Nothobranchius furzeri: one gene and its partner. The protein of the gene in region 1 interacts with the protein of each later gene in a pairwise test. Links are inferred from orthologs where the notes say so. Each region holds a gene or a part of one and is shown on either strand. Other genes may lie near its edges.

Region 1 (3,756 bases):
GTGAAACGGATGTGATGGGGCGGGAGAGGTGCCTCTTCAGTATCCTCAATCTCAGACTCGTTCGAGTCAGAGGAGAGGTGAACCAGCTCAGGAGTCCTCTCTGCTGTCGGTTTGACAAACCCTATGATGACACAGTCCTCGCTGTCAGAAGACACACGGTCTTCCTCGTTGCGGTTACTCTGAGGCACGCCAGCTGGGTTATGTGAGCTCTGCCGGTGTGGAGAAGCCTCAAACTCTTGCATCTCCTCCTCTGAACTAATATCTGAGTCCAAGTTCAAAGGTGTCATCGCTGTTGCTTCTCTCTGCTCGGCTGAAGTGGAATATGACGGTCCAGGCGTCTCGTCGTCCCACAGAGAGTGGCTAAGAGAAGTAGGTTCCCCTGGGGGATCCACTTCTGCAAAGGTATCCTCATCCTCCGAGATAGCAATCACAGATGAGTTGGAGCTGCTGCCTTCGTTTCCGGAGGGGGCGGGGCAGTCATAGACTGCATGTTGGTCATAGGCCTCCATATTGAAGGGGGATTTTGCAAAGCTGAGGAACTCGTGTAGAAAGTGCTCGGTTCGACCTTGCAGGAATGGTCTGAGCTCTCCCTGGATCGCTCCATCCTCCATATCATAACGCGTAATGCGTGACATGATGATGTGCTGAACTATATTGACCAAAGAGCCATGGGCCCCGTACAAAACCATCAGTTCTCTCTTCAGCCAGGGGACCAGTCTGTGCAGGCAGGCTGGATTTCTTCGATAAAACTCAGCAGAGGTGTTTCGGGACCGACCGCCATCTTTCACGCTCTGAACCCTCACACCCCGTCGGTACAGTTCCCTCCTGAAGTTTATCATCTCTTGCTCTCTGACACTGTTCACCGCCCTGCCTTCCCTCGCAGCTCGCCTCTTGGCTTCCAACCTCGTCATCATGCGTCGAATGTAATGATCTCGGTGCTGCTCCAGGGTCGGGCGTGTCGCGGCTTCGAACATGACTCCGTTGTCTGGAGGAGGAGAGGTTCGTCTCGTTGCTCGAACTCCAGTGAAAGTTGTTCGGTATCTGAACCGCACTCCCTCAAAATAGCCAAAAGAGGCATTCTCCACCTGCTGTTTGATTTCATACCTCTGAAAGTCTTGATCTGACTTCACGCTGTGATAGATTGACCTAAACGGCTGTTTGCAGAGCGGACATTCGGCCTTGTTTTTGGACCACTCCAAGATACAGCGAAAACAGAACTTGTGCAGGCAGCGGTCCAAGTGGGAAATGTTGTTGAATCTGTCCAAGCAAATGGGGCACTTGGAGTCTGGCGATGCCTCTCCAGACATCGCTTTAGAGTTTTTACCTCTGGCACTGTTCTGGTTGTGTTGCAGGGCAATCTGGACTGCAGACATGATCTAATGTGGAGAGAAGAAAAAGCTGGAGTGATCTTCAAAATACAAGCTCTTACTTTAAACACCAATAAAGCCAACCTAAGCAGGCTGATTGAATAAAACGCAGTAACTAGAACAGCAAAAATATATAAACCGCTTTCCATCTATGATTAAATTATGGAATTTATTTTATGTTTGAATCATTTATTCACTAAGTTCACAGGGCTGGTGTTATTACAGATTTACATAGATCTTAGTAATAAACAATGGAAAAAGTTGTTGATTAAAATAAACTATGAAACTTTTAAAGACTTGGCTTTTTAAACTTGCTTTGCCTTATTTTATTTATAATTGTTGCTTGTTTATTTCCTCGTATTTTCTATTTTTACTGTGAAGCACTTCGTGATTTTTTTCTGCGAAAAGTGCGATGCATTTAAAAGTTACGTTTCTGCCCCATTATGAAAATATGAAAATGAACACAAACAATTCTCGTTAACCTGAACAGATTTCTACTCTAGAGGACATTTATCACCGTCACAGCCCATATTTTGTCTTTTAAGGAGCTGTAACTTTTGGTTGTCTTTCAAATAAGTCAAAACTAACTAAACGGGACAATCAGAAAGACAACCTAAAAAGACATGGCTCTTATATTTGGCAAGATAATAGAAACGCAAGAAAACGTATTAAATATGTCTTTCGGCACATTTGTTGTGTGTTTTAGTGAATGCTGACGTTGTTACGATCCCGTTTTGATTTGATGAAAATTTAATGTTGGATTAGTTTGAAAACATAAACAACCTCAACAAATAGTCATAAAAATATTCTTATTCGCAGAACAAAGCTAACTGTAGATTATAGCTGGGTTTTTGGTTGAAGCTAGCACAAGGTGGCTACGTTAGCTAGCACGGTGCCGTTAAAGTTATGACACGACGGCAAGGAGTCCGTTAATGAGTTGTAAGATATTTACCTGCGACTTTGACAAACACACATACACACCACTGGCAACGAATTAGGAGTTTCCTTCATGAATAAATCCACTTTTTAGTAAACATCTGTCAGCTAGCGTTTCACCTCCTTTCCACCGGTTTCATAATTTCAACGTTCGAACACTTCCGCTCTTCAAAATAAGAGCACTTCTTTAGACACTTCCGGTTTTATTTATAACTCAAGTGAAAAAGTTCCACTAAAACCAGGCTTTGAGGATGTCTGTAAGACTACAATAACTAACAGTGTGATTTGATCTAGCATGAATGGAATTGAGACCGTTTAAAGACTATAAAACCTAAGATGCAAATTAATCCAATTCAATCACGATCAGTAAAAAACATGATTACAATTAAACAACTTTTCAGGTTCACACACACGAGGAGGGGGGTGAGTACTAACTGCGCAGAAAAGGTGCAGCAGCAGTTTCGACCTGCGAGTGTCTCTCTGCGAGGTAACGGTGCTAATTGCGACACCTCATAAACTGATTTATGACCGCCTCATAAACACCAATCATGTTAAAATGTTCATGCAACATAATAATTTAAAAACCTATTAAAAAGAAAAGCTACACAAAACTAAATCTTATCATGAGCACAAAGTCCTGGAATAAATGATGAAATTCTTCCAGTTAAAACCCAACACCACACTCATTACAGTCAGACATGAAGAATTTTGTAATATTTTATTGTAATATACAGTTTTTACAACAGAAAAACAAAAAAATTAATCACATTTTTTTTTATTTAGTGATGGCCATGGATCTCTGGGAGATCAGGTAACACTTCGCCAGTCTCCAGAATGGTGTCACCCTGTAAGAAAGGTCAATTAAACATCTCAGACAGCAAGTCAATGACGTCAGTGGTAGACAATGATTGTACCACATAAACAGAAAACAGCTAATTAAAATAACACACGTGTATTATTCAGAACTAGTATATATGCTATACTCACAGGTAAAAGCTTGGGTTTCGTCTCCACAATCCCATATGGTTTTGTCTGTGGAGAAAATGTACCTTTTAGCTAGTAATCCTACTGATCACACAAATTAAACTTGAATCCATAAACTGAGTGAGACTGTCTGATTATAGCCAAGAAACAACTGAAGACACAGGAAAAAGTCTAGTCCTATCCTGCTTAATGGATGAGTGAAAACCAGGTGGAGAAACGTGCTACAAACACTGCAAAACTTTTGGGGAAACTTACAGCAACGTGATATTTCACATAGTAGTGAACAATCCAGCCAGGCAGGAGCAGACGTGTGATTGTGAAAACTCCACCTTTGTATGCTTTGTAGGTCTGCAAGAAAACAAACAAAAAGTTATAGAAGCATGTTTAACTGAAACTAAAAAAATGTTCTCATCACAGATCGGATTTTCCATCCACTTTTAGATTAAATTCAATATTTAATTAATAACAT
Region 2 (3,407 bases), on another chromosome or scaffold:
ACTGATTCCTGAGTTGACTCACCACTAAACGTGTGAGGAGATATCTGATGTGAAGAGATGCAGAGAAACTTAAAGCCAGTTTAGGACACAAAATCACCTGTTCTGGTGTATTTTTCTCTTCCTGCACCAGGTACATCTGTCCTATGGAAGTATTGGTGCTCCAGAAGGTTTTTGCTGAGACAAATGAGGCTGATCCTCGTGAAAATGGTGATAATGATACAATCCTGAAGCTGCTGATGTTCGTTGGCACCTCTGTCAGTCAGCCATTTTAATGCAAAAAGAAGAAAAATCAGGAAATAATGAAGCGTAATGGTGCTTCTTTACTTCACGACATCTTGTTTTCACCCCTTAATGTGCTTCGTGTCCCCAGATCATCACCTCTGGCAAAAGAGGGAAGAACATCCTGAGTGTTTGACAATTCTGAATCTTTTTTTTTTCCCATCTATTTGTGTTTCAATGAGCAAAACATGAAAAGAACCCAGACCGCTTGTCTGGATGTTCACAGGTGAGGTAATTTCCTCACCTGGAGTTCACCGTCAGGTCAGGACACCTGTGCTGCAAGAGGGCTTCTCCATTTCTCCATTCCAGGTGTTCACACCTCAGCTTTTATTGATTTGAGATTTCACAGGTGTTTCAGATACACTCAGCAGTAAGAAGAGCCCAGGTACAGTCGCTCTGAGAAGAGGAGGCACAACAGAGCGCAGGATTCAGCTCCCCGCCGTGAGCTCTCACACAAACTTCAAACCTATTTACAATCATAAACAATCGGCGGTTGATAGGATGTGATATTTACAGTTATTGTTACAAACATGTCCGGGTCAGCCGGCGTCTCTCAGCCGCAGAAACAGCTCACATCATCTCAGCTCCGCTTGGTAAAAACCCCTCTGAGGGCAAAAGAGTCCGCTCGAGGAATCAGTGTCACCATACAAACGGTTTAATCGTGTCATTAACAATCACTTCTAGTTAGAACATCTCTGCAGAGAGGAACCGAGGAACACATAGAAAACAGTCAGTCGTAACAAAATAACGGGTGTTCTCGTCTGAATCAACGCTTAAAAAAACTTTTTGTACAGGATTGTTATTTTTTCTCTTATTTTTTTTTTTTTTACAGGAGGAGCTTTTAGAGTTGGATCTCGAACCAAAGGAAGACACATGGCAGACATGGATTTTCACACAGATTGCATATGTTCTCTTCTCTCTAAGGTGTTCCATAGGTTAGTCATCTCACCTAAGCTTATTTGCATGATAGTAAAAGTTGCATACGACAATAATTGTGAAGCTTGTAGCACGATTTGCTCGACATACAGCACTTTATAGGCGACCTTTAAAGCACATTTCTCCACTGAAGACGTTTAAGACACTTTTTGCTTCCACTGCCAGTGTTAAATCACATTTATAAATAGAAAAAAATGGCAGAATTTAGAAAAAAAAGAGGAAAAACTGTGATAAACTTTTAAAATAAACTGTAATTACATCAGAAACACAGCAAATAAATAATGTCAGACAACATAAACATAGTTTAATTCACATTGTTTTAACTGTGTGGCGAGTCAGAGTTACAGTGACAAAGGTTTTGCAAAATAATCTAACATCGGCAGTGCCGTATTGTACAAGGCATTTGTTGGCATAGTTTCTTTAAGACTGTACTTTTTTACAGTTACAATATAATGTCTATATATATTTATATTATATATCTTCCCTAACAAATGATAAGCAACGGTTCGGCTGTTCTCGGGTGATTGCGTTCCCGAGTTTGGAGTGATTTCTAATCACACGATGCTCTTTTTAAAAGAATGACTCCTCCTCCAGCAGGCTGCAGACGTCACACCTCACAATTAAGGCCTTTACAACCACTTGGTCCTCGATTTCATTTGATATTAACAAAAATGAAAATTCCAGTTAAAACATTACATACACCTATCAAATTCTTAGTAAACTCCAGGGGGTCTTTTTGATTTTTTTTTCTTTTTAATATAATCTGTAGCTCAAAAAGATAGTCAGTGTAAAACAACAGACATCGAGTGCAGCCAGCAAATATCCACGGTGACGTACTTTACAATAATGTTTTTGTGCAGATTATTAAAACGATGCATCGGTTTTTACAGTGAATATTACAAGTTTTACAAAATCCAAAAAGTAGTACATGAGATGGGTTTTCAGTGTGTGTGTGTGTGTGTGTGTGTGTGTGTGTCACTTCACAGAGCCTGTAACTTTAATTTATACATAAACACTTCCCGTTCAGTCCCGACGCTGCGTGCACAGACAACGCTGCTTGTCTGCTTTTCCAGCTCGCCGGGTCGTGTCGTTCAGAGCGTTCGGATTCAGCACGGTCATCAGTCTGAGTGTGCGGGTCAGAACTCTGAGTCCAGGATCGGAGGGAGCCGGATTTCTACTCTTTGACCTCATGCTCCGACTCGTGGTGGGTCTCGGCGCCTCGGCCCAGCTGCTCCTCGATCTTGATGGAGAAGATGGTGCTGTTGGTCTGCGTGCTCTCGTCCAACTCCTTCAGCAGCTCTCCGCTCTCCCTGAAGTCTGTCAGCTCCTCCTCGAAGGCCGGGCTGCTCCTGCTGCTGCTGCTGCTGCTGGTGTTCACCGCTGTGCTGTTGTTGCTGCCGCTGCTGTTGTTGTTGTTGGGCTCCTTGGGCGCCTTGGTTGGGTGGCTGATGTAAAAGCGCTGGTTCTGGAAGAACTTGATGATGGTGAGCTTGGGTAAGTCCAGTTGGGCGGACAAGGTGTGGATGGCCTCCTCGTCTGGGTAGAGGCCCACATCCTGGATGAAGCTCTGCAGGATGCCCAGCGCCTCCAGGGAGATCTTCCCTCCGCTGCTGCGGGACTTGATGCTCCCTCCGCGGCTGCCCTCGTCTTCCGTCTCGGCCGGGGAGGCGGTGGAGGGTTGGCGGGGAGGCAGCCTGGGGCCGGTGAGGGGCTGCTGCTGCTGCAGGGGCTGCTGGGACAAAAGGGGCTGGGAAGGATGGAGGGACAGGGAGGGCTGGTGCTGCTGCAGCTGAGTCGACTGAGACTGAATTTGAGAAAAAAAAAAAACAAGAACAAAAAGAAGGTAAGGGTGTTACCAATCTGAACCATAAACAGGTTTGTTATAAAAGTTGAAAAGAATTATTCGTGAACAGCCTCAGTTCATAGAAATAGGGTTTACAGCCCCAGGACTGATGAGCTAATGGCTAGTCTGACACCTTAAAACAGATACTTCAAACAAATGTGGTGATTTCATCTGCAAAGATAAGCAGGAGCAGGAGGAAGGACATTTGATGTGCCCAGAGGTCAAAGGTCATTAGGGATTATTGTATTTATTTTTTATTTCTGCAAGAACATTTGTGTAATTCAAGGTGCAAGTCAAAACAGTTTTAAGGCGGCAGCCACTAGCTCACCAGTCCTGAGGAATTCAAACA

What was found.
Region 2: the proteins of toporsa (region 1) and satb1b interact in a two-hybrid assay, tested with the Homo sapiens proteins (2 studies listed by BioGRID and IntAct). The link is inferred for Nothobranchius furzeri from reciprocal best matches to the Homo sapiens genes TOPORS and SATB1.

Annotation. Positions count from the first base shown.
Region 1 is NC_091746.1:80,962,891-80,966,646, forward strand, and holds the start of toporsa (topoisomerase I binding, arginine/serine-rich a), read right to left. Parts: upstream 2,459-3,756; 5' UTR 2,320-2,458; intron 1,377-2,319; 5' UTR 1,374-1,376; coding exon 1-1,373. Other genes in the region: ndufb6 (NADH dehydrogenase [ubiquinone] 1 beta subcomplex subunit 6), read right to left, coding at 3,083-3,148, 3,291-3,335, 3,543-3,635. UniProt on the Homo sapiens protein: Functions as an E3 ubiquitin-protein ligase and as an E3 SUMO1-protein ligase. Probable tumor suppressor involved in cell growth, cell proliferation and apoptosis that regulates p53/TP53 stability through ubiquitin-dependent degradation.
Region 2 is NC_091745.1:63,027,038-63,030,444, forward strand, and holds the end of satb1b (SATB homeobox 1b), read right to left. Parts: intron 3,020-3,407; coding exon 2,390-3,019; 3' UTR 581-2,389; downstream 1-580. UniProt on the Homo sapiens protein: Crucial silencing factor contributing to the initiation of X inactivation mediated by Xist RNA that occurs during embryogenesis and in lymphoma.